Linked DNA regions of Rattus norvegicus. The protein of the gene in region 4 purifies or fractionates together with the protein of the main gene of each other region. This does not show direct contact. Links are inferred from orthologs where the notes say so. Each region holds a gene or a part of one and is shown on either strand. Other genes may lie near its edges.

The links.
Region 1: the proteins of Gdi1 (region 4) and Rab13 purify together in Homo sapiens (affinity purification with mass spectrometry; 4 studies listed by BioGRID and IntAct, counting the BioPlex papers as one, with this or other methods). This does not show direct contact. The link is inferred for Rattus norvegicus from reciprocal best matches to the Homo sapiens genes GDI1 and RAB13.
Region 2: the proteins of Gdi1 (region 4) and Rab35 purify together in Homo sapiens (affinity purification with mass spectrometry; 3 studies listed by BioGRID and IntAct, counting the BioPlex papers as one, with this or other methods). This does not show direct contact. The link is inferred for Rattus norvegicus from reciprocal best matches to the Homo sapiens genes GDI1 and RAB35.
Region 3: the proteins of Gdi1 (region 4) and Rab14 purify together in Homo sapiens (affinity purification with mass spectrometry; 3 studies listed by BioGRID and IntAct, counting the BioPlex papers as one, with this or other methods). This does not show direct contact. The link is inferred for Rattus norvegicus from reciprocal best matches to the Homo sapiens genes GDI1 and RAB14.

Annotation. Positions count from the first base shown.
Region 1 is NC_086020.1:177,970,034-177,977,857, forward strand, and holds Rab13 (ras-related protein Rab-13), read left to right. Parts: upstream 1-2,936; 5' UTR 2,937-3,021; coding exon 3,022-3,145; intron 3,146-4,290; coding exon 4,291-4,351; intron 4,352-5,484; exon of another isoform or gene 5,485-5,583; coding exon 5,584-5,644; intron 5,645-5,860; coding exon 5,861-5,938; intron 5,939-6,384; coding exon 6,385-6,474; intron 6,475-6,528; exon of another isoform or gene 6,529-6,557; coding exon 6,558-6,623; intron 6,624-6,703; coding exon 6,704-6,757; intron 6,758-7,191; coding exon 7,192-7,269; 3' UTR 7,270-7,332; downstream 7,333-7,824.
Region 2 is NC_086030.1:46,637,057-46,644,683, reverse strand, and holds the start of Rab35 (ras-related protein Rab-35), read left to right. Parts: upstream 1-2,739; 5' UTR 2,740-2,843; coding exon 2,844-2,895; intron 2,896-7,627. UniProt on the Homo sapiens protein: The small GTPases Rab are key regulators of intracellular membrane trafficking, from the formation of transport vesicles to their fusion with membranes.
Region 3 is NC_086021.1:38,906,797-38,914,486, reverse strand, and holds the start of Rab14 (ras-related protein Rab-14), read left to right. Parts: upstream 1-2,802; 5' UTR 2,803-2,808; coding exon 2,809-2,860; intron 2,861-3,830; coding exon 3,831-3,884; intron 3,885-5,255; coding exon 5,256-5,433; intron 5,434-7,690.
Region 4 is NC_086039.1:157,235,680-157,243,340, forward strand, and holds the start of Gdi1 (rab GDP dissociation inhibitor alpha), read left to right. Parts: upstream 1-3,220; 5' UTR 3,221-3,344; coding exon 3,345-3,389; intron 3,390-4,557; coding exon 4,558-4,665; intron 4,666-4,824; coding exon 4,825-4,924; intron 4,925-5,061; coding exon 5,062-5,196; intron 5,197-5,607; coding exon 5,608-5,806; intron 5,807-6,060; coding exon 6,061-6,192; intron 6,193-7,149; coding exon 7,150-7,249; intron 7,250-7,661. Other genes in the region: Atp6ap1 (V-type proton ATPase subunit S1 precursor), read left to right, coding at 260-498, 1,176-1,223, 1,312-1,540, 1,754-1,963. UniProt on the Homo sapiens protein: Regulates the GDP/GTP exchange reaction of most Rab proteins by inhibiting the dissociation of GDP from them, and the subsequent binding of GTP to them. Promotes the dissociation of GDP-bound Rab proteins from the membrane and inhibits their activation.

The DNA.
Region 1 (7,824 bases), on a different chromosome or scaffold from region 4:
TAGCAATCAGGAAAATGCCTGGGGCTGGAGAGAGATGGCTCTGAGATTAGCATCACTGGCTGCTCTTCAAGAGAACTAGGGGTTTGATTCCCAGCACCTATATAGTGGCTAACTACCATGAAGGCTCGTAACTGTAATCTGTAACTCCAGTTTCAGGAGATCCAATACCACCTTCTGATCTCCCTAGGATACCTGGCATATATACGCTACACATACAAGCATACAAGGACAGAATATCCACACACAAAGATAGATAAATCTACATAGAGATAGAGATCCTGTCTAAAATTTTAAAAATACTAAAAGAAATAAAACCAGAATCCCCCCATAGAATGCCTATATGCCTACAGGCCAATCCAATGGTGATAGTTCCTCAGGTTTCCTCCTCCCAGGTATGTCAAGTTGGCAACCAAGATTAGCAATCACAAGGTCTCCTGGCTGGCTTGCAACTCTCTACCAAGAGTAGGCTGACCTTAGACATGCTTCTGTCTAACCTTCATCTTGCTTCTGTCTCCCATGTGCTGGGACTGCAAATCCACCATACCTGGACTTCAGTGTGAGTTAAAGGACAGGATTAGTCAGTGAGGAAAATCAGGAAATATCCCTGTCTGTGCTACAGCTTGAAACGTAATGAGCCCTGAGGGAATAAGTGGAAGGGAATTCAAGCCCATAATGTAGCTCAGTAGAAAAGTACTTTGCCTAGCATGGGCAAAGCTCTGCGTTTGACCCGTCCCCAGCACCATTCAAAGAAAAATGGAGGGGTTGGGGATTTAGCTCAGTGGTAGAGCGCTTGCCTAGCAAGTGCAAGGCCCTGGGTTCGGTCCCCAGCTCCGGAAAAAAAAAAAAAAAGAATAAAAAAAAAAAGAAAAAGAAAAATGGAATAGTCAGATTGGGATATTGAAGTGGGCACAAGGGTACATGTGGATGGCAGTAGTTCTGGCTATTGAAGGGGCTCAGTCCAGATGATCATCCCACAAATTTGAGACTGATCTGGGCAACACAGAGAGACCTTCCCTCAAATAAATCGGGCTGGTGAGATGGCTCTGGGGAAGTTTGGTTCGACATCCTGCAGCATGTTCTCTGCTCCCCACTTTCACCATGGCATTTGTGTTAACATTTCATCTAGGCTTCGCCCCACAGTTACCTGGGAACAGCCAGGTGTGCCTACCCCCTCCTCATTCTATTGCTCTTACTCTCTCTCTCCTGCTTCCTTACCCTCTTCACCCTCTCTCCACGTGCTCCTCTCCTCTCCTCTCCTCGCCTTGCCTCGCCTCTCTCCTCCCCTCCCTCTCTTCCCTCAACTCCCCTCTATTCCCTGTAAACGCTATTCTATATACTTACTATACTGTGTGTGGCTGGTACAGGGGTGGGGTGGGGGATGCCTCAGCATGGGCCTGCAGACCTTACTGAACTTCCATGAAACATATCTCTGCTCTTTCTTTTTATAAAACACATTATGTGTGCCTACACATACAAGTAAATATAACGAATGAATAAACTAAATAGTTATTTGTGTGTGGTAGTCAATATGGATTGTCAACTTGACAGGATCTAACATCACCGAGGAATCCAATCCCTGGACATGTTCTAGATCGAGGAAAGTTCTAGCTTGGATTATGTGAGGTGGAAAACCCCCACCTGACAATGAGTGGCACCATTCACCGTCCTGAATAAAACAGAGAGAATGAGCTGGGCACCAGCATTCATCTCTCTCCTCCTGATTTCCGAGGAAAAGTGACTAGATACCTCACGTTCCTATTGTCATGTAGACTGTACCTTCTATGAGCCAGAGCAAGCGTCTGGTAAACTGTTTTTGTCAAGTAGTGGGGGGGGGGGGAAGGTAACTGATACATTGTTGATACATTGTGTTTGTATCAAAGGACAAAAGTAAACATAGATTATGGCAAACATAATGTAACAAATTAAGACACTTTCTCACAGTCAGTACTCAAATGTTAGGGACTTTTTCTTTGTTTTTTTTTTTTTTTTCTTTTTTTTGGAGCTGGGGACCGAACCCAGGGCCTTGCGCTTGCTAGGCAAGCGCTCTACCACTGAGCCAAATCCCCAACCCCTCTTTCTGTGTTTTTTTTCCCCTTTTTTAAAGGGACTGAAAAGATGACAAGCGCTAGCTGCTCTTGTAGAGGATCTGGGTTCAGTTTCCAGCAGCCATATGGCAGCACCTGTAGACTCTCAAACTCCATTCAGGGGCTCATTGCTTGCTCTCTTGTAGCCTCTGCAGACACACTAGTCATCTAGTGCATAAACACATGTAGGGAAAGCACTCCTGTATAAAGACAGAAAGCTGTGCCTGGGGGCCGGCCAGTAATCTGCACACTTGAGAGATTGAGGCAGTAGGATTACTTGACCTTGAAGGCCGGTTGCACTACTGAGTTCTAGGCTCGCTCCAGAAGGTGAACCGGCTACGTGTGCTTTGAGTGTAATTGATGGGGCTGATTTTTATCATTTCAGTTCTTCACTCTGCTCCACCAGGGGGCAGACGGATCCAGCATACTAACCTCCCAACCCGCTTCTTTTCAAAGGGAATTGGGATTTGTAAACTTAAGAAGCGCAGTGCTGACAGAAAGTTCTTAGGACCTTTATCATAAACTCAAAAGCTTATGAATAGCGCCTCAGCCCTTTATCAATTTCCAGTGCCACCCCTCTCTCCACCACTGGTAAATTTCTTTCCCTCTTTCCCTAATCTTTTTAAAATTCCTCTTTCTACTTCGGTAGAAAGAGAGGAAAGACAGCTAGCCAAAGGCAATGGGAAGGGCTAGGGAGACTGGCTCTTCGAGGCCGGGGAGGCAGCGCCCGGACTGCTAGAGCTGGACAGGCCTCTCCACTAGCGAAGAGGGGTGGAGCCCGGAGCAGGGCCGCCTCTCTTCTTTTCCCGGGGCCTGGGCGGAGAGGGAGGAAAACTTCCTGGCTGGGACTCTGGCGGTTTCTGCCTGCCAACCCTCCGATCCCGCCTACCAGCGTTGGCTCTTCCCGACCCCTCCCCCGGCGCCCCCAGTGTCCGCCATGGCCAAAGCCTACGACCACCTCTTCAAGTTGCTGCTGATCGGGGACTCGGGGGTGGGCAAGACTTGTCTCATCATTCGCTTTGCAGAGGACAACTTCAACAGCACTTACATCTCCACCATCGGTGAGCCCACAGTCTGTGTACCAGACCCCAGACCCACCCTCTGCCCACCCTCATACACGGGCTCCTGAAAGACTAAGGAACCTACTTTTTTGATCCCCTTAGAGAAAGACACTAATTTTCAGTCTGTCGACCCTGCCCCAGACCCATCCCCCATAATGTCCCTGAATAACACTCAAAACTTCAAGCCTTTCTGATGATTCCAGGTAGCCCCAGTTGCTGCCACCCACCCCATTTCTTGGTACTATCTCCCTAGTCTCTTTAAATCCTCATAGGTTATTTTCATTTCCATCTGCTTCCTTCTTCAATACATCTCTTCACCTAAACTCTCTAGATTCACTCTTCACAATTTCTCTTTTCCCTGCTTCCCAGTTCTGTTGGCTTTTTACTGACCCACTGGGCTCCAAACTTCCCCCAGCACGGGTTGGCTCTACCTTCAAATCATCCTTCTAGCCCCCTTACCTCAGCAAGGTACTGCAGAGTGGCTGACTGTGCTGCCGAGTGGGGAAAGTGGAAGGGAGGGGACTCTGGGGTCTCTGAGTAAGCTTTGGCACTCAGACACTTTTAGGAGTCCCCCAAGAGACCTGGGAGATGTGCCCAGACTTCCAGTAAGAAGAGTATCCTTTCCCCTTTTCCCTCCTCCCTTCCTCTCTTTATCTTTCTTCATTCCCTCTTGACTGGGAATCTCATCTCCCCTGGTGACAAAAGGGAAAGAATCAATCTCTCTCTCTCTCTCTCTCTCTCTCTCTCTCTCTCTCTCTCTCTCTCTCTCTCTTTTCCTGTGCCCACCTAGCTCACTAGTTAATTCACATAGACTCAGTCAGCTGCCTTTCTCATTCCTCACTACCCCCAAGGGTGAGCAGGGTGGGTGGTGGACCTGAGGTGTCTGTTGGGGGAGGGGGAAAGAAGAACGGAACAGTGTGGTAGAGATGGAGGGAAAAGTTGTCAGCTGGCATGCTTTTAGCCCGCCCGAAGAGTTTCACCACCTTTCTCCAAAACGTCATAAAGTCTGAGGAAAAACAGTATGCTTACCATTGGACTAAAGCTTTGGAAAGCTCTCCTATTCACACATCCAGCCCCCACTCTCTCCCCCCATCCCTTTCACACATTCACCCATGCTTCCCTGGCTTTCACACCCTTCACCCCAGGAATTGATTTCAAGATCCGAACTGTGGAAATAGAGGGGAAGAGAATCAAACTGCAAGTCTGGTAAGTAAGCTGCCCAGCTCTCCGGACCAGACTGACCTTTGAACCCACCCTCCCCCACTTGCAACCCCCCCCTTTCAGTTCTTCTATCTTACTTTTTCTCTTTTCAGTTTAGTTTTTGTTTTTTTGGGTTTTGTTTTGTTTTGTTTTTTAGACACAGTCTCATGCAGCCCAGGATGGCCTGGAACTCACTATGTAGCTGGTAGCTGAGAAAGAAAGACCTTTATTAGCTCCTGTCTCCTGTGTTACAGGCATGTGCAGGCATGTGGCACCATGTTGGTCTTTCTGTTTTGCTTTCTTCCCTTTTTTCCCCTGGTCCAGTACATCTCCTAATTCTTCCATTTCGCTTAGTCAGCTATCAGCTGGCCCTGCGTCTCTCTTCCTGGTGTCCCACTTTCAGTTCGTTTGTGTCTTTTCCTCACCCAGAGCATTCTCTGGACTTGAGAACAAATGTCTTTTGAGCCATGATGTAGAAACAGGTTCTAAGTGGTTAAAAGATAAGTGCAGAATTACAAATTTGACTCCCAATCTATTGCTCTCTAAACTTTTCAGAGCAACCTGGGTGTAAATGCTGGGACACACTTTGAGTCCCAGTACTCCAGGAGCAGAGGCAAGTGGATCTCTGTGAGTTTGAGGTCAGCCCGGTCTACAGGGTGAGTTCTAGAACAGCCAGGGCTATGTAGAGAGACTGTATTTTAAAAACCACACAGTAATTAATAACTGTAACCTGACTATCTGAAGGAGGCTGTAGACACTCCAGGCACAGGAGCACTATGAGGCTTTCCTGAAGCATTCTTGTATACCAGACAAGCAGCAGCAGATAGTGTCTAACCCTGGTTCTGCTACTTTACTTTTGCTTGACCTTCAGTAATGACCCAGCCTCCCTCCACAAGTTTGTTTCATTTATAAAATGGGGACAAGGAGCCATGCCTCACAATGATACAGTGAGAGTTAGATAGGATCACACACACACACACACACACACACACACACACACAAAGTGATACTTAAGACAGTGCTTGGCATCTGTGAGTAAACAGGAGACATCCTGTTTCCCAGGCCTGTAATGTCTGAATAGCAACCCAACTGTCCTTCTCCCTGTCCCCCTTACCGTTTCCTGAGTCTTTTCCTTTCAGCCCCCACCTCCAGTGTTTCAAAAGCTGAATTCTTAGGAAAAGACTTCTCCCTTGAAGACTTCTTGCTTCTATCTCACTCTATGAAAACTTCTGCCTCAGGGACACAGCTGGCCAAGAACGATTCAAGACAATAACCACCGCCTATTACCGTGGAGCCATGGTATGAAGGGTGGGTCTGGACATGGGTTACAGTCATAGTTTCATGAGCACAGAGGGGTATGAGCATGCAGGGGTAAAGAAGGAGGGCACGGTGCACATTACAGAGAGCCCCATGTAGCCTGTGACTAGACTTATGGACCTGACTTGGATGGTCACTTAGAGGACAACAAAAACCTAAGTGGGAATGTGGTCCAAGGTGAACTTTACCATCCCTTAGGGCATTATCCTAGTATATGACATCACAGATGAGAAATCCTTCGAGAATATTCAGAACTGGATGAAAAGCATCAAAGAGGTAAGATGCCTCCAAAGACACGGGGGAACAAAGAAACCCCTGAAGGGCGTGGGGGTTAGGATGGGCAGGCTTCCACTTTAATGTGTATGGGTGTTGTGCCTGCGTGTATACCTGTGAACCAAGAGTCTGGTGGTGCCCTTAGAAGTCAGAAGAAGTTGGTGGACTCCTGGGACTGGAGTGACAGATGGTTGTGAGCCACCAATTGAACCCAGGTCCTCTGGAAGACCAGCTAGTGCTCCTAACAGCTGAGCCCTCTCCTGCCCCAACCCTCCTTTGTTTTTGTTTTCCTCCTGAGACAGGGTCTCCCTCTGTAGTAGCCCCAGCTGGTGTGAAACTTAACGGGTAACCCAAACAGGTCTTGAGCTCACAGAACTCCTCCTGCCTCAGCTTTCTAAGTGCAGGACTTAGAGGAAAGACCCACCTTCTGCTTGTTTTGCTGTCTCCAGAACGCGTCTGCTGGAGTGGAGCGCCTTCTGCTGGGGAACAAATGTGACATGGAAGCCAAGCGGAAGGTGCAGAGAGAGCAGGCTGAGAGGGTGAGTCAGGCCGGGCTGCTGTGGCCGAATGCCTTGCTTCTGCCCTTTATCCAGCTCTCTCCTTCCTACCTCATCCCCTACAGTTGGCCCGAGAGCACAGAATCCGATTTTTTGAGACAAGTGCCAAATCCAGTGTGAATGTGGATGAGGTGAGAGTCACTCTCCAAGAGATAAAATACTAGTAGGTTTATCCCCTCCTTCAACCCCAGCTAACCAATTTCCCCTTTAGGCTTTCAGTTCCCTGGCCCGTGACATCTTGCTCAAGACAGGAGGCCGGAGATCGGTGAGTTGGTTCTACTTGGCTGAGTCCCACAGCGTGTGTCTTCAAGAACTGAAGTGACTGGAGAGTACTGTGGTACTGCTCTCCTATGGTCTCAGCACCAAGAGATGCTGGCAGAAGGATCAGGAGTTCAAGTTCATCCTCTGCTACTCTTTCTAAACTCAGAGTGCCTGTGGAGCACACCTTTAATGCCAGCACTAGGGAGGCAGAGGCAGGCTGATCTATGAGTTCAAGGCCAGCCTAGTCTACAGTATGAATTTCAGGACTGCCAGAGCTACACAGAAAAAACAGTCGAGGAGGAGGAACAAGGCCAAGATTAACCACAATGTGGAGGTGGACAGTGGGGGATGTGGGAGAGAGTGGGGGTGAGGGTGTCTATAGACTGATCCTCCTGCCAGCCCTTCACATACCTGATCTTTCCACCTTCCCAACTCTAGGGAAACAGCAGCAAGCCCTCAAGCACTGACCTGAAAGTATCTGACAAGAAGAACAGCAACAAGTGCTCCTTGGGCTGAGGAACATTTCTTGCCTCCTATTCACCCTGAACCTGGAGGCTAGACCTGAGGGAGGTGGACTGAGGTAGACTGATGGAAAACAGAGGGGAGGAGCTGTGGTGGTGCCTGGAGGGGTGGATGACAGGGGAGGAAGGAAAGATGAAATGGGCAGGGAAAGGAGGGCGAGGAACCAAGGACGTGAAAAGTGAAGAGAAGGGGTTTGAGAAGAGAAAAAGAAGAAGGTCTCAGGTCTCGGACCGTCCAACATTAATGTCAGTATGCTGATCTCTCCATTCCTGGTTCAGGGTTCGGGTCCCGAGAGGCTGGCTCGGCCCTACTCTGAGGGTCTCTCACTCCACAGATCTTTGTTAGTATTAAAGGCCACTGTTTGGCACGAATGTTCCATTTGCATTACTTTCATTATTGTCAGAATTGCTCTTTACTCAAATCCAATTTCTGTCATGCCAGGATATTAGTTCTCCTGAATCTGGCTGGGTCCCCCTTCCTTACCCCAACTCTTTAACTGGTGATGAAAACAGCAAGGAGAAAGGGCAGCCTGAAGAATGGACATCCTTT
Region 2 (7,627 bases), on a different chromosome or scaffold from region 4:
CTCAGGACCTCTGGAAGAGTAGTCGGGTGCTCTTAACCGCTGAGCCATCTCTCCAGCCCCCGTTTGTCTGTTTTTGTATCAGCCCCATCCCTGGTCACCCGTTGATGTTCTGCAGCCGTATGCAGCGTGCTCCTGCCCTGAGTCTGCTACACAGCATCCCGTTACTGCTCTTCTGCTTGGGATCTCCCTAGTTTAGCTCTGAGGTAGGAAGGAAAAGCTGTACCTCAGGACGTGGGGACAAGGCCCCCATCTGCGGGCCATCCTGATCGGCCTGCGTCAGTTCATACTCGGCACACAGCACATGTGCTTTTTGGAAAGAGTTCTTCACTGACGGCTGCTGGGTGAACGTTAGATGGCGTTTTCACAGCATGTGCTGGGAGACTCATTTTGGGATTCCAGAAGCATACCCTGGCCTCAGGGAATTCCCCCTCCAAGCCAAAATTGAGGATTCTCACAGGGTGTGACAGCCGCTGTCTCTTTAGACAACCGACATTCCAAGCGCACCTCTCTTCTGGTGTCGCCATGAAATCTTCATGACGGGCTCTCCCCTTCCCTCTTGCCAACAGAGGCAGTCCGGGTCCTCTGAGGTCTAGGCAGGGTATCTGACAGTCATTCTCTCTGCTGTATTGCATCATGATTGTGTCTGAGCTCTGTTGAGTCTGTAAATTCTTGGAAGGAGAAAGTTCACTATCCTCTATGACACGGGGCATAGTAAATGGTAAGACACCATTAAATAGTTACAGAATAAAATGCCCAGTGGGTTTGGGGCAGAACTGGGAATCTCATCTTCCTAGGGCGGACTCTGCTTCGCTCCCTAGAGTGTCCCACAGCTGTGAATCCTGGAAGTCCCCTATAGGAAACGGCTCAGAGATGAACGAATCCTTGCACAAGGACTCACACTGGTCACTGTGACTGACCGCACACAACCTCACATTTACAGTATTCTGAAGAAACAGGCTCTGAGACTGCCTGAAAGCTTCTCAGGGGTGGATTTCATAGTTGCCCTTGAAAATGCCATCTCTTCAACCTTGGAGCAAACATGGAGATGACCTGACAGGATACTTCCTGGGCCAGGAAGACTTGGAGTGCTTATCTGACGTCTACCCTAACCTTAAGGCTTCTTGCTGTCTCCTCTAAAATGTTTTGAGGTTTTTATTTGATGTATGTGCATGTTAGTCTGAGTGTGTGTCTATATGCCACATGTCTGAAGTGTCGGCCAAGGCCGGAGGATGGCATCAGTTCTGAGACTGGAGTTACAGACTCTTGTCAGGCACCGTGTGGGGGCTGAGGGTTTAACCAGGTTCCTCTGGAGGATCAGCCAGTGCTCTTAACTGCTGGACCATCAAACTGCCAATCAAAGGAATGGCATGAACCTGCCCGACCCAGGAGTTTCCAATCTAGAACACAGGGTCTCTTTTCAGCCAGTACCTTAGGAATCTAGGCTCGTGTTTATGACATCACCAGGCAAAAAGAGCTCAAGGCCTACATCAGACACTCTGTGTGCTGTTCAAGGACTTTGCTTGCAATTCCCTGAATAACAAGAAAATTATGAACCGCATAAATCTACCAGAGCAGCAGAGTCGTGAAGGAATAATAGTACAACCATCAGCCGGAGCACCACGTGGTGAGGCGGTTAAATGATTGATGGCGGTGTGAACGCACGCACGAGGCACATGTGTGCTTAGATACTCCTAGAAGTTTATGGGAAAGCACGTATCCATTCAACTAGTAAGTGTTTCACGACTGTCCAAGAAACTTTAATGGGGTTACTACGGGGACTGGTTCTAGAGGAAAACTAATGTCAACTTTGAATTCTGTAACCATCTGTATTTTTTTGTTTGTTTGTTTTAAACACCAACACTGTTTCTTATGGGGAAGGATTAGGAAGCAGCAGTATCCCAACAGGTGCTTGACTGGAAAGCTCTGGAAGGTAGTAGGAAGTAGTGAGGAGGAGGCTGGGTGGGTGGAGCTCGGCTCGCAGGGAGCCTGCCTAGCATCTGCGAAACCCTGGGTTCGAGTCTCAGCACCACATAAAACGGGACTCAGGAGGTACAGGTAGGATCAGAAGTTTATGGTTATCTTCGGCTACTCGGAGAGTCAGGTGCCATCCTGGGCGACTTGAGAACTTGTCTGGAAAAAGCCAAAATCACAGGGATGGGGCAATCCCTGCAAACTTGCAGGGAGCGTGGCAGTGGCAGCGCACGGGGACCGGCAGGTGAGCTTCCGCTCGTACTGGGGCTGACTCCGCGCTGCGTACGGCGTAACGGCGCCCCGGGAAACTGAGGCAGAAGGAGAGGAGGCGCAGGCGACCAGGGTGCACCCCACGGATCCGAATCCGGAACCGCTACCCGTTCCGCCAGGAGGTCGGGCGCCTGGAGTCGTGGTGCTCGGAGGCGAGTTCCGCCCAGTGCTGACCTCCAGACCTCAGCCCCGCAGCCGGCCATCGTCTCTCTTCCATCAGGCCTGCTAAACGGCTCGGTTCTCCCGAGGGCCGTAGCGTCCGCACTCGCTCGCTCGTTCGGACCTCGTCCGGGGAGCGTGCGCACTGCGCGTGCGCGGAGAGGGCGCGGCCGACCGGGACTGCGGCTGCGCAGAGGCGGGTCCAGCCGCCGCGCCTGCGCAGTAGTGGGGCGGGGCGGGAAGGAGGGTGGCGGCGGCACCGGCGGCGGCTGCTGAGGAGGAGGAGGAGGAGGTGGGGGGAGCGGAGGGAGGTGTTTCTGTCAGTTCCGGCTGTTTGTTCGGGAAGTGGATCCGCCGCTGCCGGAGCAGCCGGGAGGGAGCTGCGGATCCCGAGGCCAGTACCGACCCCGCCCGCCCGCGCGCGCGCGCCGCCCCCGCCCGCCATGGCCCGGGACTACGACCACCTCTTCAAGCTGCTCATCATCGGCGACAGCGGTGAGGGCCGCAGGGGCCGGAGGCGGTGCGGGCCCTGCCGGGCGCGGCCCGCGGGGGCCTCGGGGCGGGCGGGCGGGCGGGCGAGGAGGCGCGGCCCGCGCGGGGCGGGAGGCGCGGAGCTGGGCGGCCGCAGGCCCCGGGGCCGCAGCGAGGGGCTCCGGGCTGCTCCTGGGCGGGTTGGGGCGCGGAGCGCGCGGGCTGCACGCCCCGGCGCTTGCTCCTGCCTCACGTGTGACCTTGGTCAAGTCGCGCGATCGCTGGAGTTGGAGAGACCCGGGTTCGAGTCCCGGGAAGGCAAGCTTTTTCACTCTGTGACCTTGGGCAAGTTGCGTCGCCTTTCTGAGCCTCAGTTCCTGCATCTGAGAAGTGGGGACTTGTTAAGCTGAGCGGTGTTGAGTATTCAGTGAGCTAAAGTAGGGAAAGTGCTTAGCGCCTGGCCCGGTGTAAAGTAACCTCCAAGTAACTAACTGTTGGTGTTGTCAGCGTGAGTCTCCCTGTGAAGACTCAGCCTTCTGTGAAATGGGTATTTCCAGGACTTGTCTCTCCGGGTTGCTGTGGACTTGGATGAGGTGCGGCAGGTACGGCCATAAGCACATTCCTGCAGAATCGTCACTAAGTCTCTGCATGGTTCAGTTCTCATCTGTAGAATGGAGTAGTAGATTTGCCTGACAGAGCTGATGTTAGCAGCCAGTGAGCACACACATCACTATGTGCTTGGCACACAGTGGGTGGACAGTGTTTGCTGTTATCTTACCTGGGTGCTTCATCCGATATTTTAAGTGCTTTGTGCGCGCGCGCGCGCGCACACACACACACACACACACACTCTGTCTCTCTCTGTCTCTCTGTCTCTCTCTGTCTCTCTGTCTCTCTCTGTCTCTCTCTCTCTCTCTCTGTCTCTCTCTCAGTACTGATCCATCTCTGATTTGTAGAGCAGTTTCTGGTACCCAGTGCTTAAGTGCATTTGGTCAGTCACACTGGTTTCTGGCCAAGGATGAAGCATTTTAGAGGTGTTTGGAGTGTGGCAGGTGACCAGGTCTGTGAGGTGACGGTGAGTTCAGAGAGGCCAGCCCAGGATGTTTGTGGGCGCTTAGCTGAGGTGCCAGGATGATGTGATATTTGGAAGGAGGCTGGGGAGCAGCTAAGTTTATAGATTAGACTTGAGTGTGGGTCATGGGACTTGAGACAGCCAACTTGGTGATAATGCCTGTGGATTGTTAAGGAAATAGAGCAGTGAGTCCCCTGAGACTCAGGATGTAGGCTTGTTGGGTGACACTGTCATAGATAGGTCATGGAAGTAAGTGGTGAGTGGATTTTGGTCTCATGGGAGAAGCTGGGTTGGGATGTGGCTCGTGGTTTGGTTCTGGTGGGAGATGGCTGAAGTCTCAGGGGTTGCTGGGGGGTGGAGGGGAGGTGTCCTGGAAGGGGAAGGCCTCACTGAGGAGGTAGAATAGTAGCTACGGCTGGGAGTGGAGTTGAAACAGTGGAAGACTGACCCGTTGTGGTTTGAATGAAAGGAAACCAGGCAAGCCATGTAGATTTGAACTTGGACCCAGCTAATGGGGTTTCTCTGGGCTCTGAGGATTTGCTGACATTACGGTGATCTCTCTCCTTTCGGAGCTAAAGTCAGCCCGCTGTGGTCAGAGGTCTTTATCCCTCCCCAAGACACGGCCAGTTTTAATATCCAAAACTCGAAAGGCTAAACTCAGCAGGAAGTTGTAGCTTGCTGGCTTTCTCTCTTTTGTTCAACCCAGGGCCTGCTTTCTTATGGTGCACCTTGCAGGGCTAGTGATGGTTTCTGCTCAGAAGTCGGGTGTGGGAGAGGACTCAGTGGTCAGTGTCTGTAAGGTCTGGCTCCAAGGGTCAGCGTGAGCATGTAGGCCTGGGTTACAGAGAAGAGGGGGACACTGTGCTGTTGGATTTCTCCTGCCACTGAGCTTACACATGAAGCTGAGCATTTAGGAACCCGGAGATGGTAGCCAGGGGAGCAGGGAGCGGGATGTCACTGCCCGGCTGGCTGCCTTGGCCCCTTGAGTGTGCTTCTGAAGGTGTGTCAACTGATTCTCAGACACTGTTATCTGATTCTCACCCCTGGTCTCTGTGGTTTGTCAGATAAGGAAACCAAGGCTCAGAGGAGAAGCCTTGTCTGCCCAGAGTCACACAGCCCCTGCAGCTGTGCACATGTGTGCTAACCCCAAGAGCAGGCCGTGTTGGGCTGCAGGCACTGGGCCTCACTGGACCCTGGCGGCTCTCCGTCTCACTCACTCAGCCACATTGTACACACTTCTGGAATGTGTTCCCTGGGCATGGGCATCTTTCTTTATCCTCTCAGCTGCCCCGCATTGGCTTTTGGTTTGTACCCACGGATGCCAGTTACCCTCATTCTCACAGCCTGAGGCTGGTGTGCCTTTAGACTAGGTAAAATCCCTCTCTTAACCCATGAGTAGACGGGAGCTGGGAGGTGGGCGTGGTCTGTCTGCAGGTACACGAGAATGTGGCCACTGAGGCAGAATTAAAGTTGATATTACTTTACTTGAGTTTATAGCAGGCTGGCTAGATCTGTTGCCTCAGAGGAAAGCAGTGGGGCAGAGCTGCGGAAGGTCCAAAGCAGCACGCGGGGTGTGTGTGTGTGTCTGTCTCTTTGTGTGTGTGTGTGTGTGTGTGTGTGTGTGTGTGTGTGTGTGTGTGTGTGTGTTGATGGTAAGCGGTGGCATCCCTTCCTGCCAAGAGGCATCAAGTCCCTGGGGCCTGTGTCCTTGCAGGATAGCAGACCTTAGAGCTCGGTGGCTAGAAGAAAGTGTTGCTGTGCTGGAGATCGGCCCTGGGCCCATCTGTAGGGTCGACAGCAGCTGGAATATTTGGGAGGTGGCAGGTCTTGGTTTCTGTTCCTCTCAGGAAGAACAGAGTTGGAGGTTTGTATCAAGTCCATGGCGGCAGACCATGTTGTGACTAGTGGTTTTTCTGCAGCCAAGGATTTCAAGTCCTTGCTGTCACTGCAGATGGTACCTCTCTCTCCCCTGTCTACTACAGATACGGGAGATTTGGATAATTGATGATGGTGGTGATGGTGGTGGTGATGATGGTGGTGGTGATATTGTTAGTGATGGTGGTGGCAGTGGTGATGGTGGTGGTGATGATGATGGTGGTGGTGGTGGTGATGGTGGTGGTGATGGTGGTAGTGGTGATGGTGGTGGTGATGGTGGTAGTGGTGATGGTGGTAGTGGTGATGGTGGTGGTAGTGGTGATGGTGGTGGTAGTGATGATGGTGGTGGTGATAGTGGTGATGGGTGGTGATGGTGGTGGTGATGGTTGATAGTGATGGTGATGATGATGGTGGCGGTGATGGTGGTGATGATGATGGTGGTAGTGGTGGTGGTGGAGGTGGTGGTGGTGGAGGTGGTGGCAGCGGCAGCGGCCAGATGTGGTATTGCGCATATTAAATCCCAGCACAAGCAAGTGGCTTTGAGAGTCTGAAGCCAGTTTGGTCTACATTGAGAGTTCCAGGCCAGCCAAACCCTGTCTAAGTTGGGGAAAGGATTCTGCTGTCCTGAAGTTTGAGAGCTGCTTCATTGGTGACGCTGCTGTAGTAACATGGCATAGCATGGCTGTCACTGAGACTGTCGGCCTGTGGAGAGGGGTTTAGTTGGTAGCTATTAAGTGCTGGGCTCAGCTCATGGCTCTGAATGAATGCATAGGGTGAGGGAAGGGAGGTCTCGGACCTACAGCACTCACTCATTGCTCAGTGGCTAGAATGAGCTTTTAGCTGAGTAAGCTGGACTTAGAAGGCTCCAGGAGGAAGCAGAGGCACCACAGGGCCCATGGAGTGTCAGTATCAGGCAGAACACGGTGTGGATCAGTGCAGGAGCCTGGCTGTCTTTGGGCTTAGCAGGAAGCCTCATGGCGGAACAATGAGGAAGTGGTACGAAGCAAGCGCTGTAAGCAGAGGGCTGAGCTACAGGTGCTCGGCAGCAGGGCGTCCTCCCCAGGGCCTCCTTGGGAAGTAGGGCTCAGCTGTACCCGTTCTTCACGGTCGGGTTAGAAACACAACTGTACAGCCCAGTGTGCAGGAGTGGTTTGCAGCCTCCGCTACTTGAGGGCCAGGGGTGGAACAGCCATCTTTGAGAACTGGAGTCAGGCTCTGGGTTTCTCTCATAATAGGCACGTATGCTTAAGTTTTGATTTGAGTGACAGCGTTTATGGGGTCCTCGGGTGACTTGGTACCTTTGAAGGCATTTCCGTTGGACATAGAGTGGAAGAAATGTGGACAGGAGCCATGGGACAGGTCACTTTTGCTCCTGTGCATAGGAGGTTACATGGCTTTTGGCTGCTTTGTTTTAAGTCATGCTTCATTGCTGGATACATTGTGTTTGTTCTTGTGTAGCAGTTTCACAGACGTGAGGATATTAGGTCACAGAGTCTGGGGTTTTTAAAGTTTTCTCGGTATTGCAAAATTACTTTTCAAAGAAACTGAAGTCATTTGCATTTCTACTCAAGGGGCTGCAAGTGTCCCCATTAAAGGCTAGGATTGTAGTTCAGTTGGTAGTGTTAGCTTCATAAGCATGAAGCCCTGGGCCACCGTACCTGTGACCCCAGTATTTGGGAGGTAGAGGCAGAAGAGTGGGATTCAGGTCGTCCTCCATTACAGTGAATTCAAGTCTGACTGGGGCTATGTGGCGCACGCTTCGAGCCACTACACAGAAGTGAATGTGCGCTGCCCTTTCATTCTGAGCTT
Region 3 (7,690 bases), on a different chromosome or scaffold from region 4:
TTAAAAAATGTCAGAATTCATCATTTTAGTTGACATTTAGAGGATGCTGTGTGTCACAACTAGCATGTACACAGCTCAAGTAGAATTGAATTATAATTTCACAATTACTCCTAGAACACTTGAAGTTTATTGACTTTGGAACTGTTTAAAGGCCATAATTTTTGGGTGTTGTGTGTTGAGGCTTGAAGCCAGGGCCTTGTACATGCTAAGCATGTATTCAACACTAAAATACACCACAAAGCCCTGTAATTACTTGTTTGTCACCTGCCTGCCCATCCGTCTGTCCACCGGTCCATCCATCCATCCATCCATCCATCCATCCATCCATCCATCCATCCATCTGTCCATCACAAGGTCTCTCTTGCTGTCCTGGAACTCACTATACAGGAGTAGGCTGACCTCAAACTCCCAGAGATCTGCCTGAGTATGCCTCCTTAGTGCTGGATTTTAACATAATAAAATAGGAAACAAAGTATATACAAAAAATTTTAGTCAAAAGATGGGAAGAAAATAGGAAAATCAAGGGGAAGAGTGCAAGAAAACTAGTTTACAAATGACTACTTTGGAAAGGAGTTAGGAGTTAGAAACTAATTTGAGGAAAAGAATGTACTGTTTCCATACAGAAGAGAAATTAATGTATTAGGAATTTAATCTTAAAAGTTAGTTAAACAATTAGATCAAGTTTAACCTTGAGGCCAAGTTGTTGTGGGTTTGCTTGCTTGTTGCTTGGGACAGGGTTTTTTTTTCTCTGTGTAGCCCTGGCTGCCCTGGAACTCACTCTGTAAACCAGACTGGCCTTAAACCCAGAGGTCCACCTGCCTCTGTCTCCTCAGAGTGCTGAGATTAAAGGCGTGTGCCACTTCACTGCCTAGCTTAAGGCCAAGTTTGAGTGCCAGTGGTAGCTGAAAAAGAGGTAAGAGAAGAGTTACCAAGTCTAGGATATCAGCTGATCCAACTAGAAAAACTCCTCCTGAAAGAACTGGTTAAGGGAGTTTTCTGCAATGTTGGAGGACTGATTATAAATGTGTCACAACATGCTGGGTACATTGGGAGCAAGGCATAGACTTGTATTGATTGTTGTCTGTACAGCAAAGTAAGGTGACTGCAATTATGTGATGTGCTCTTTAGTTTTCTGTATTAAAGGATTTTTTTTCTTTGATTTTTTTTTATTGCAGATGTTCTTCCTATAGATTCAGTTTTATTATGTTGACATTTTATTTGAAATATAGCATAAGTTATCACAAAATATTCATTAAAACCCTAGAAAGCACACATTTTTGGACAGTTAATAAGTCTTGGTATGTATGATTTTTGTCTTTCCTTAGTTGAAAACTAGTGAAAAATAAATTCATTAGATGATAGCGGTATTAGGATATGTCTCTCTAGAACCTAGCACAGTGTTAGATACATCGAGACACAGCTACTCTTAATTATTTAATTATGCAATTATTGGTAAGTTTATTCAACATGTATGCTTGTCCTCCAGAGAAAGCTAGCACATGAAACATTTATACAGCATGTGGCTTGCTTGGGAAGATTGTTGTTGTTGAGACATAGGTCTCTGTTTTGTCCAGACTGACCTCAAAATCCTGGGTTAAAACAGTTCTTCAGTCTCCAGAGTATGAGACAGGACTAACGTATGTGTCATTGTGCTTGTGAAATTGGAAGCTTAGGAAAGAAATTGGGATTTTTCTTTTTTTTTTTTTTTTTTTTTTTTAGATCCAATTGGTAAGATATAATTGCCCACTTAAACATACAAAGCCCGGTACCAGCCATCCCTTGAGAACATTAATAACAACCTGTAACACAGAGCAGAATCTTAACATCACCTGCCATCTTGTCCTGCCACGGCTTCTCCCGGGATTTTTCTTAGGTTAAACCTACCTACAGCAGTAGGCTGTGATCCTTGGAAGCATCTTGATAGTAAGCTTTTGGATTTCATAAGTGTGAGTACAGCTTTATAGCATTTTTTTCTCCTAGAATAGTGTATAGAACTCAATTCATGTGCTTTTAATGTATTAAGTTGAGTCATACGAAATTGCTAATTATGTTCTTTTTTAAAAAATCTATAGGAACAACAATTTTGTGTGATAAAATCTAATTTTGATGTCAATTTGATTTGGATACATGATTGTTCTAGACGTTAGATTCTTTGCTAAGTGTTGATTTAAACTAGAAGAGAAAGTTATATTTATGTTAGTGATTACTTTGATATCACAACTTACTGATCAGTTAACAAGGAAAAGAACCTTAAAGGGAGAAGGAGCTATCTAATGATGTTTGACTTAAATTTATAAAAATTTTCTTCTTTGAAAGATTTCCAGAATAACTTTTTGTTGATATTACTCCTTTTTTCGTATATTTCCTCGAGTAAAAATTTGGAGTGTTTTGAAACAATTTTTTCATATTTTTGTGGATCACTTGAGAATATTAAAGTAACATTCAAGAGAGTTGTGAGGGTTGGGGATTTAGCTCAGTGGTAGAGCACTTGCCTAGCAAGCGCAAGGCCCTGGGTTCGGTCCCCAGCTCCAAAAAAAAGAAAAACAACAACAACAAAAAAACAAAAAAAAAAAACCAAAAAAAAAAGAGAGTTTGTGATCAGGTTGGGAATTTTACTGACTTAGATCAAAATTTTGTTTGTATAGTCAGTGTGTTTTCGTAATATGTATGATATTTTTAAATGATGTGTATGTATTTGTGTGTGTGTGTGTGTGTGTGTATGTGTTTGGAAAGGGCGGCAGTCATAGGTTTCTATAACTTGTGAACGTTTGCTGAATTAACATAGTTTTCTTTGTTTTCAGTGCCACCATGGCAACTGCACCGTACAACTACTCTTACATCTTTAAGTATATTATTATTGGTAAGTTTACTTAACGTGTATGCTTGTCCTCCAAAGAAAGCTAACACATGGAACATTTATACATCAGTACCTGAACATACTACTGCAGACGTGCATGCTTTTGATGACTTCAGAACTAAAGCTTTTTGATGAAGACACACATGCCTTTTCCATCATGGCCCCGGGTAGTGAAATGATGGTGGTTGTTCTTCAGGGCCACCTGCGAACATGTTAGTGTTGGGGTTATAAAATTAATTTCCTGCTTGTGCTGAAATATCCCAATGTCCTAAAAGTTTCAGGTCCTCTTGAATTCCAAAATAGAGAGAGAGCACCGATTCAGAATTGGTCGTGAAACACACACACACACACACACACACACACACACACACACACACACAGAGTTTTGTTTCTTTTTAAATGTCAAGACCTTGCTCAGATTGTCTTAATGCATTTATCCATGAGTGGTTGTAAATAACTGGAAAAGCCCAGATGGTAGGCTGAGTTGCAGACCAGTAGAAAAGCTCTTACAAGCTTATCCTGGCTGTGGACTTGTGTTTGATCTCCACAATGGAAAATAAAACACAACCTGTAAATAAGAAAAGACAAGAAAGGCCATGTCAAGTTTGTATAGCTTTGTGAGATGGCATCTACTGTAATGTAGAGATAAAACGAGACATAGTGAGCCAAGCTTCCAATTTTTAATTTGTTATTTATTTCCGTTTGCTTTTGTGATAGTTCGTTTGGATAGGCCAATGAATGCACTTGGGCTACCCATTTGGAAACAGTTCAGATTACAAGTACTATTCACCTTGTTGGTTGTTTACTAGTCTATCCTGCTAAAGTTAGAAGTGCTCAGTTTGCCTTTTGAGGAGGAAGATGCAGGGGCTGCAGTGTGATGTGCATGATGTTCTGTTACGCAGCAGTTATTGCATACAGTGATGCTGTGCATGAAGGCTGAGAAGTATAACTGCCGTCTGCTTTCTTTACACAGGGGATATGGGAGTAGGAAAATCTTGCTTGCTTCATCAATTTACAGAAAAAAAGTGTAAGTTCAATATGAAAGGTAAAAAAGACAAGTAGCTTACTTTATCCTCATGTTCTCTACGTTTTAAAAAGCACTATTTTTAGTGTATTTTATGCATCCGATTATAACCTGTCTCCATATTTACACTTGGGTTTTTAAAGTGCCATGATTATTTTTCTACAGTTTGTTTTAAAAGATTTATTTTTAAGTATGTGTGTTTATGTGTGTGCTTGTAGGATTATGTACATGTGAGTGCAAGGGCCTTAGAGGCCAGAAACAACAGATCCCCAGGAATTGGAGTGACTTACAGGTAGTTGTGAGCCATCTTGATGTGCTGCTGGGAACCAAACTCGAGAAGTCTGTAGGATCAGTATACACTTTTAACTGTGGAATCATTTCTCTAGACCCATGATTTTCTAATAGGTGCAGATAAAATACAGTATTATTGCCAATTAAATTGTCTTTTAAAAAAATTCATGATGTATGGTTATATTCATGTTGGTTATACTTATTTACTTATATATAAATAAAGACAGGGTCTCACTGTGTAGCTGTGGCTGACCTGGACTTGACTGTGTAGACTGAGTTGTCCTCAAACCCAAGGACATCTATCTCCTGAATGCTGGGATTAAAGGTGTGCCCCATCATGGCAGCTTGTTTGGATTTATTTATTTTGTTTTTTTGAGACAGGATTTCTCTGTGTAGTCCTGACTGTTCTGGTACTCACTGAGATCCACCTGCCTCTGCCTCCAAAGTGCTGGGGTTAAACATTGTGAGCCACCACTACATAGTACGAATTAATTTTTAAAAGTGTAAAATGTTAAATTTAACCCTATCTTTTCTTTTACTTTAAATGTATTTTTTTATCAACTTGTTTGTGTGTGTGTGTGTGTGTGTGTGTGTGTGTGTGTGTCTGTGTGTCTGTGTGTGTGTGCATGATCATGCATGTTGGTATATATGAATGTGTATGTTACATGTGGCTAGTACACACAGAGGCCAGAAGAGTGTGTTGGATTCCCTGGAGCTTAAAGTTATAGGCAGTTGGGAATTGTTCAGTGTAGGTGGTACAGGAAACTACACTCTGGTCCTCTGGAAGGACAGCAAATAATGTTCTTCACGACTGTGACATCTCTCAAGCTTCCCACCCCCAAAATCTTAGACACTTTTTCTGTATGTATCATTTTTTCACTATAATCAATTTTGAAATAATTAATAGAATTTTTTCTGTCTTTATCACTGGCTAAAGTTTAGAATACAATTCCTATTGAGGGTGGTGGAGAAAAAGGTCAGTATGTTGTAACTGATAAGCAAAATACAACTGAGAACATGGCATTTTTGTGCTGTGTTCCACACAAGTTTTCTGAAATTTGGCTATTTTCTTTTCTCCAACAGTTATGGCTGATTGTCCTCACACAATTGGTGTTGAATTTGGTACAAGAATAATTGAAGTTAGTGGCCAAAAAATCAAACTGCAGATTTGGGATACAGCAGGACAGGAGAGGTTCAGAGCTGTTACACGGAGCTACTATAGAGGAGCTGCAGGTGCGCTCATGGTGTATGACATCACCAGGTAAGATGACATCCTGCTTTGAAGTAAACCACTACTTTGGGCAGTATGGTTTCTTTTTTATTGATTTGGGTCTCCTTTAGTTTGTAATTGGATATCCGTAAATTAATTTATTTGGGGTTTTATGACTTCTGCTCTAAAGCTTGAAAAACTTTTTAACATGCTGATCTTCTCTAGAAGTTGGTGAAAGAAAGACCATGGGATAATGGGGCCTAAAAGAAGAACACAGACTGCAGAGTTAGCTGTCTGAAGAGAGGCGGCTTTATATGAAACTTACACTTCAGGAAGGCAAGCTAGTGCTAAGGAATTCTATTCGGTGTGTGTTAAAATCAACACCTCTGTGAATAGGAGCAGTGAGGCATGAGACACTTAGTAGACTGGTTCATTTTGGTGTTGGAGTATAATGAATGTTTGAATATTACTCATTTACTTAAATTCACTTTTCTACCACGAATTGAAGTGACTTAAAACCCTACATCAAGATTCAATTCATGACAACATGGTGTTTTCTAGAAACTCAGAGCATTTGATATGAGGTCACAAAACAGGAATATAAAGGTTTGACTTTGGAGCATGTAGCCAAACTGCCCCTTACTAGACCTGAACAGGTCTTTCTCTGCTGTGAGATAAAAATGAACTGGTCGCCTCTCATCATGATGCAGAGTCAGCCAAAGCACTCCTAAGAAGAGCTCCTCCCTCCTGAGGGGACAGAGACAGTGAGTGGGACCAAGTGAGAGCTGGAGACTGAGAAAAAGCTTTGTGCTGGCTCATTTTGAAGAGTCAGAGAGGCTGAGCATAAGAAGCCTGAGCTGTGCACAGGGAAGGAGCCCCTTGCTGTGTGACTCCTCTCACTCTGACACACTCTTGAAAATGCCGCGTTAGAATATTTATAGGGACTGATAGAATTATATACATAAAGCCTCGGTAGATTTTCAGCAAATAGTAAGGTAAGTTTTAATTTTCTTCATTGTATGGGCAGTTGGTACATGATCAGTAGATGGTCTTGTGGGGAGATTATAAACCTGGCTGTGGTACAGAACTGCCTCATTATGAGTTATTACTGCATTCCTGATGACTTAATTAAAGGTCCCGTCCATTACCAATACTCTGAAATATGATGTGTGCTTAACATGCAGTTTATTTTGCTTTTAAATATATATTTTAAGTATAGTAATATTGTGGTAAAATTTATGTGTATTCAAGTGATCAAAAGCACTTCATATGGAAACAGCAGAAATGTCCATCAGCTAAAGGAATGGATACACATCAATCAGGTGGCATATCCACACAGTGAACTGTTTTTGAGCTGTAAAAAGGATGACTGATACATATCAGATGTAAGTTAAAAGGCCACAGGTGATTCTCTATACTGACCTAGAATAGGCAGGAAGATCGCAAGGGCATGGCAGCACAGACTCTCTCTTCTGAGGGTCCTGTGAATGGTCTAGAATTTGATTGTAGTGATGCTAAAAGTAAATTATATTTTTAAAGGGCTTATGGTGATTGATTATATTTCAATATTTACTGAAAAAAGTACTTTGGATGTTAGGTTCTCGGTGACTTTAGATAATTCATGGTCTCAGGTTGCTGGAAGAGTGATGATACTTTTCTACCAATTATTTCTATCAATCCTTAACATTTTGCAACTTAAAAGTTCCCGCTTTGATAATAGTTTTTATCTTTGGTGTCAGCTATAACTGTTACAAGGCACTTTCCTGAGCTGACACTGAAGCTTGTTATGTCAGTAGTTTTGCCACAGTCAGAATGCAGTGAGTACGCTTGTAAACGTAGTGTGAAGTCAGGAAGTAGAAAGCTGAGCCATCCTAGCGTGGAACCTGTCTGCGTGTGGATGTGTTGTGTTAGGGTAAGTTAGATTAGTGCAGATGACATCATGCTTTTTAAATTTGCTCAGATAAAGTAAACATATACCACAGTCTGAATCTCCAGGTGCTTTAACCACCTTGCAAGTAAGAGCTGCAAGATAACAGCTTTCTTTCTGGTAGCTGAGGTCTTGAATTTCTAGATGAATGCATTAAATGCCCTTTTTAAAGGCAGTTTTTAATCTCTGTATTAACTCAGTCCAGAGTAGTATGGACAAGGAACTTCTAGCATTTAGGAAGTAGAGGAAAGAAGATCACAAGTTGGTGGCTGGCCTGGGAAGCATTTTAAAAAAAAGGGAAGAAGAAAGTAAAAGAACAGTCTAGCGAAGATGAGTGGTGTACTGATTTAGTGTGTCCGCCTTATCTCTGACTAGAGTCGT
Region 4 (7,661 bases):
TGCCATAGACAGGATCTCTCAGGAGCCTCCAGTTTGGGGGATTAATGGACAGAGGATTGCTTCCTCCATCCATAGTGTCTTTTTTCCAATTTGTTTATGCCACTTGGACAGTGTGATTATTAGTTTAGGGAGATGGAATATCAGGGCTAGGGACTTTCAGATGGTATACAGGGTACCCAGTGTGGAAGGAATACCAATCCAGTGGATTAGGTTTTGTTTTTAGGGCTGTTGAGAGAAGGCTTGTTGAATGTTTCTGCAGGTGGCCCGTGATGTAGCCATGGTGGCTGGGGGTCTAGGTCGCCAGCTGCTTCAGACTCAGGTGGCATCACCTGCGATCCATCCTCCTGTGAGTTACAATGACACTGCCCCAAGGATCCTGTTTTGGGCACAAAACTTCTCTGTGGCATACAAAGACGAATGGAAAGACTTGACCTCCCTCACCTTTGGTGTGGAGAATCTTAACTTGACCGGCTCCTTCTGGAATGACTCCTTTGCCATGTAAGGGAAAAAAAGGTTATCCTGTCATATATGGTTTTCCTGCTACTGTGAGCCCAGTACAGGACAAGGATGTGGGATGGATGTGTGTGTGTGTGTGTGTGTGTGTGTAGGTATATAGGTATATATGTTTGGGGTGAGAAAGGTCTTTGTGTGGTGTGTTCACCAAGGAGATGGATATCACAGTATCCCAGGTGATGTTGCTGGGATGTTACTGGAGAGGGATCCTCTTAGGAGTTTGGCTTTCTCATGCTTTTATGTCTTGGTTGTTGGGTCCTGAACACCACACAATCCTTTGGGACCCTGGCCCTTCTTTGAACCCAACCCCTTGGACTGCATGTAGGCAAATACCAGACCAACTGTTAAAACCAGTTCTAGGTCTTCTACCCTTGAAATCTCAGCTGGCAGCTAAATGATCCCAAGAAGGAGGCCTACAGGACTCAGGAAAACCAGAGTAAGGAATCCTAAGCTGGAGATGTAAGACCTAATTGTGCTCCAGCTGCTCCTAATTTGGTTATGACTGGAGCCTTAGTTTTCCCATATGGTAAATGGGGACACTGTATTGACAGCTGGCTGGCTATAAGGATGGATCTAGGGTTGCTTAGGTTGGAGCCAACCTGATCAGGATCTTCTTAAGGTTCTTCTAGAGCCTGACAGTACTCCTGTGCCTTGTCCCATAGGCTTTCACTGACCTATGAACCACTCTTTGGTGCAACAGTGACATTCAAGTAAGTTCTGTTGGCTGAAGTTTGGCTGGGCTGGTATGTCTTCACTCTATTTTGTTCATCTGACATCTCTGCAACCCCCACCTCCCAGGTTCATTCTGGCTAGTCGCTTCTACCCAGTATCTGCCCGATATTGGTTTACCATGGAACGACTTGAAATCCACAGCAATGGCTCGGTTGCCCATTTCAATGTTTCCCAAGTCACAGGACCTAGTATCTATTCTTTCCACTGTGAGTACGTCAGCAGTCTGAGCAAGAAAGGCAGTCTCCTTGTGACCAACGTGCCCTCCCTCTGGCAGATGACTCTTCATAACTTCCAGGTATTGAAAGGGTGATGGGCCCCCAAGCTGGTGGCAATAAGGGGCGGGAAAAAGGGCCCAGAGAATCTCTGCATGGTTTGAGCATGTAGCCGAGAGAGTTCCATCCTTGTATAGTCTCTGAAGGTATAACTATTCATTAATTCCAGAATCCCAGCACTGAACTGTTTGTAGAACCTTGTGGTCCCATCTGATCCATGTCTATGTATCTCCTAGATCCAAGCCTTCAATGTGACTGGTGAACAGTTCTCCTATGCTAGCGACTGTGCTGGCTTCTTCTCTCCGGGCATCTGGATGGGGCTGCTCACCACCCTCTTCATGCTTTTCATATTCACCTATGGTCTGCACATGATACTCAGCCTAAAGACCATGGATCGCTTTGATGACCACAAGGGCCCCACCATCACTTTGACCCAGATTGTGTGACATATACCAGAGAGGGATTGAGGGAGTATTGGTGTCTAGGTTTCCATTTTGTGACACAGTGGATGGAAAGGTTTGTCCTCTTCCTACTATAGCATGAACCCTACATACACCACCCTCAGCCTGTCTTGCTTCCTCTTTCCTGGACAGGGACTTCCCTGAGGCTATCCCCCACTTCTACCAACAAAGTGTATTATTCTTCATAGATAAATCTTCCAGGCTTCATCAAGAGGGGAAGGGACCTTAATTCTAGGGTGCCCCCCTTTCCCTTTCTCCTTATTTATTCTTGCCCCTCTGCTATTATTTCGTGCTGTTTATAGTGCTTTTGTGTAGTAAATACTCACTCCCCAAGCTTTATGGAGCTTTCCAGCAATAGCCATGAACTTGAGGTCCCTTGAATTTGAGAGGTGTGGAAAGGCTAGTTAACTGTCCAGCTTAGCCTTTATGGGTTTTTTTTTTTTTTTGGCGGGTGGGGGTTAAGAATGAGCGGTACACTGGGGTTTATTTCTGTGACCTGAGAAGGAAGAAATCACCACGAGAACTGGAGAACAAAGTGTACTCATTGGGTTTCTGGTTTGTTCTCACAAGGATTGCCTGTCAAGAAGCCAGAAGTATGTGTGTGTGTGTGTGGGGGGGGTGTGCTCTGTTGTTTCATTCCTAATAAAATAAAGACGTGTTGCCATGTGTTGGGCTCCAGCCACTTATTTCTACACTGGACAAGTAGATTTGTTCTTGACTGAAGGGAAGAACTGCTCAGATGTAGTCCTGTCAGGCAAGAAATGAGAGAGGAAGGGTGGGAGGGTCTTCAGTAAGCCGATACTCTTAACAAGCCGGAGAAGAGGCTTGTTACTTTTCCTCGCCATGGGAGGAATCCTGACAATGGCAGCTCTCCCAGCGCTAGGGCCAGCTGCAACAACACACTGCAGGGCTTCCATGCCTTTCTGTTTCTCCCAGGGGCGGTACGGGAGCGCGCGGGGCGGGGCGGGGCGCGCGCAGCTCCCGCGCAAGGATCCTTCGCTAGACGTAGCACCTGCCGCCGGCCTGCCCCGCCCCGTATTTCTCTGGGCTCACGGAGAGCCGCGTTAACCCCTGCAATCATTCTGGTGCTGGGACCCAGGTGCCAGAACCCCTCCTAGAAAACAAGCGAGGAAATGGTGGCTTTGGTTGGGCGTGGCTTGGCCAGAGGAGGGAGAGGGACTCATTGACGCTGCGTAGGGATCGGGAGACGACCGATAGACGCCATCTTTGGGTCAGTGCGGCGGCAGCGGCAGCGGCAGCAGCAGCAGCAGCAGCAGCAACAGCAACAGTAGAGGCATTGGTAGCAGCTGCTGTGGTGAAGGAGGAGGAGGAGAAGAAGAGCGGGCGCTGGTACCAAGGCCTGACCATGGATGAGGAATACGATGTGATTGTGCTGGGGACAGGTCTTACCGTAAGTGCCACCTCAGGCGCTCGTAGCCCTGCATCATGCCATCCCCCACCCCGCAGTGATGCAGAGTCCGGGTTACCCGACCCATCCTCCCATCATTGCGTTCCTGCCTCCAGCCCTGGAAAAGCCCATGCCCACCCCACTACCTCATCCTAGAGTGTTGATGCCAGTTCGCAATTCTTCGTAGAGGGCCCCACTTTGGCCAGTATTCCAGCACCCTAGATCTTAACCACGGACCCCTCACCTTCCCTATCTGTGTCACTGAGGTGGAAAACTCACCCCCCTCACACACACTGGACCCGTTGCATCCAACCCCACCCTTCGCCTGCACTCATCACCTGCTCAAGTAATTGATTAGCATCTTTTACCATCTTGTGATCACACTAGGGCATGGAGTATGAAGATAAAGATATGGGGGCTTTTCAAGGGTGGGCCCTCATCCTGCCTCTCTGCCTTTTGGGAGGGATAGGGAACCCATGGAATGTTCCAGAAACAGCGGGAGGGAGGGAGGGAGGGAGTGTGTGTGTGTGTGTGTGTGTGTGTGTGTGTGTGTGTGTGGTGTGTAGGGAGGGGGTGTTAGTGACCGCTTTCCCTCTACCCCAATTCGGTTTCCCATGGAGACCTCAGAGTGAATATATATCCTCAGCCTTTGTCCTTGGGTTAGTGACAGTGACTGGTGAGAGTGTCCGGTGTCCCCGTCGCCCCCCCCCCCCCCCGCACAAATCTTTTTTCGTTTGAACCCTGAGCCTAGAGCAGTGGATGCACAGCCAGAAGAGAGTCAGGGGCTCCTGCCCTTAAAAGGAGGAGCAGGGTGGAGCCTGGGATTTCAAGGACTTGGCCTTATCTTTCAAAGAGCCTTTGAATTGTTTCTTCTGTAGACTCATTGTCTTGTCTTTTTGTGAGCTCAGAGCAGGTAGATACTTTTGGCTTGTTGATGCTAGAAGAACTGTAAGCTCTGTCCCCCAAGCCTCCTTTAATGCTCTAGTAGTTTACTCAGCAGGGTTATAAAGGAAACATCATATGAAGCTATCTTCCCCTCCCCAGTTTTAGGCACTGGAAAGAGGTAGGACTTTGCATTATGAATTTTGTAGTGGGCATGAGGCAGGGACAAATCAGAGATGCTCATTGGAGGGTAGATGAGGTATAGCTGCCAATGCCACTCTTTCCCCAGGAATGCATCCTGTCTGGCATCATGTCTGTGAATGGAAAGAAGGTGTTGCACATGGACCGAAACCCCTACTATGGGGGTGAGAGCTCTTCTATCACACCCCTTGAGGAGGTAAGATTTCTTATTCTCAGACTTGGGCTTAGACCCAGACCCCTTGTTAGTCCCCCACATAGGTGTAAAGGGGGGAAGTAGTTCTCAGGTCCCAGGCAGGAGAGTGGGGAAGGGAAGCTAGTCCTTGACATTTGTCTTTCTTTCCTGTCCTGCTTACAGCTATATAAGCGCTTTCAGTTGCTGGAAGGGCCCCCTGAATCAATGGGCCGGGGCCGAGACTGGAATGTTGACTTGATCCCCAAATTCCTCATGGCCAATGGTGAGGGAGATTAAAAAGGGCGATGGGGGTGGTGAGTAGGAAGATGGGGTATGGGGTGTTCAATCTCCAGAATATGATCAGTCACACTACTGAGAGTTTTTTGAAGGAAAACACACCCTTACTCCCTTTGGACACAGGTCAGCTGGTAAAGATGCTACTGTATACAGAAGTGACTCGTTATCTGGACTTCAAGGTGGTAGAGGGCAGCTTTGTATACAAAGGGGGCAAGATCTACAAAGTGCCATCTACTGAGACTGAGGCCTTGGCTTCTAGTGAGTATGAGTCTCCTTAAGCAGAAGAATGGGGCTGGAGGGGACAAACTGTTTTCAGGACAGTTGGGCAAAAGGCTCCTCTTTGCATAAACCTAATCTTAGCTCCGTGTAGTCCTAGAGGCCCCTTGCTTTATAGTTTCTTTATTGGACAGTGCTACCAATCTTGGCAAGTTGCCAGAAAGGAAGTTCACAGAAGAGGATTCTTTTTTGTCAAAGGGCCTACTTGCCCTAAGTGGAGCTGGGAGGGTCTCTTCCTACAAATAGGAAAATTGAGACCAAGAAAGGTGGAGCAGTGTTGCATAAGAGAGTTCTGGTGGGAGCCAAGGCACCAATTTTCCTGGCCTGCTCTGTTAGAAAGAGGAGCTCTATGTCCGAGTAATGCAAATGATCTTTTCAATACCTTTCTTTCAGATCTGATGGGCATGTTTGAAAAACGACGCTTCCGAAAATTTTTGGTGTTTGTGGCAAACTTTGATGAGAATGACCCCAAAACCTTTGAGGGTGTTGACCCGCAGACCACCAGCATGCGTGATGTCTACCGGAAGTTTGACCTGGGCCAAGATGTCATTGATTTCACTGGCCATGCCCTGGCGCTCTACCGCACTGATGAGTGAGGGGAAAGCTGGCTGGTGATGGGAGCCCCTTGTCTGGCTCACACCCTCTCCACACCTGCCTATTGTACCTACTGCCCATCCTGCATGTCACTTGTACTCAGCTCCAGGCTCACCTGTTCCATTTCCATCCCTCTCCATTTGACCCACATCTTTGCCAGGTCACAAAGGGTGGTGGGAAGGCTGGCTGGTGTCTTTGTAAATGAACAAGGGTGCTGCTATCAAAGCATATTCCCTGGTTCTTTTTCCGTAGTTACCTGGATCAGCCATGTCTTGAGACTATTAACCGCATCAAGTTGTACAGTGAGTCCCTGGCCCGGTATGGCAAGAGCCCATATTTGTACCCACTCTATGGCCTGGGTGAGCTGCCTCAGGGCTTTGCCAGGTGAGGATCTGTCTTTTTCAGCTAGCATTACTGGTAAGACAAGGCCAAGAATGGAAATTACCTTGAATATTTTTGTGGCATCTCCTACTTTCCCATCTAATTTTCATGTATATTACTGTATCCCTGGGTAATGGGGGCATAGCCCTAGTGCATTAAAGTGCAGAGTAGAGGTTGGAGAGATGGCTCAGCAGATAAGAGCACTTGTTTACACCAAGGACCCGGGTTCAATTCCAATACCAATATACATGGTAGTTCACAACCATCTATAATTCCAGTTTTAGGGAATTCATAACCTTCATCTGGCCTTCATAAGCACCAGGCATGCATGTGGTGTACAGATATACACGTAAACAAAACACACACATGTGTGTATGTGTGTGTGTGTATATATATATATAATTTTAAAAGTAGGTGGAAATACAAAGTAAAGAAGTAGGTCACCATGAACATAGCTTCCCCCAGCTCTTGGTAGTACCAGGACTAAGTCTAGGACCCCGGAACCTTGTGTCTGGGCTTCCCTGGAGTTTGAATCTCTTACAGAGAGTTCTTTATTCTTGACTCCTAGGCTGTTTCTTGGTTTGTTTTTGTTTTGTTTTGTTTTGTTTTTTTGTTTTTGTTTTTTTTTTCGGGGCTGGGGACCGAACCCAGGGCCTTGCGCTTCCTAGGCAAGCGCTCTACCACTGAGCCTAATCCCCAACCCCTCCTGGGCTGTTTCTATGTGGAGCTACTTCTTCATGCTACCTTCTGTTGACCCTTTGCAGAACAATATGTACAGAAACACCAGAGAGGAAGGAATATGTCAGTATGGGCCCTAAGTTTATGGGAGGGACACCTGAAACAGTTGGAGTTAAACTCTGTATACCTGTGTTCTCTACCCCACTGGTGGGGTGAGGAGGGTACAGTAGAATTGGTCCCCACATTTCTGAGAAGACTTCCCCATCATTTTTCTTACTACAGATTGAGTGCCATCTATGGGGGAACATACATGCTGAACAAACCAGTGGATGACATCATCATGGAAAATGGCAAGGTGGTGGGTGTAAAATCTGAGGGAGAGGTAAGCCTGCCCTGTGCATTTGTATTACCATGGTTTGGGTAAGATTTGGTCTTTTTCAGAGCTATGTTCTTAGGGAACCTTATTACTTCTTAACCCTGAGAACCTTATAGCTAAAGCCTGGGTGGTCAATAAAACTCTACATAGTTATTCCTGTTGGCAAGAAATATCCTTCAAACTACAAGGTGTAGTGGCACACAACTGTATTCCTAGTACTTGGGAGGCCAAGGCAGATGGATCTAAATTAATCAAGAGGTATCCTTCAGAAGTCACATACTTTGTATTCCTGAATGTATTCTTTTGGAAAGGGTGTCCTGTATCCCAGGCTGGCCTCAAATAGTGTATATAACTGAAGATGAACTTTCAATCCTTGTGCTTCCACCTTCTTGATGCCGAATTACAGGTGTGTGTCAAG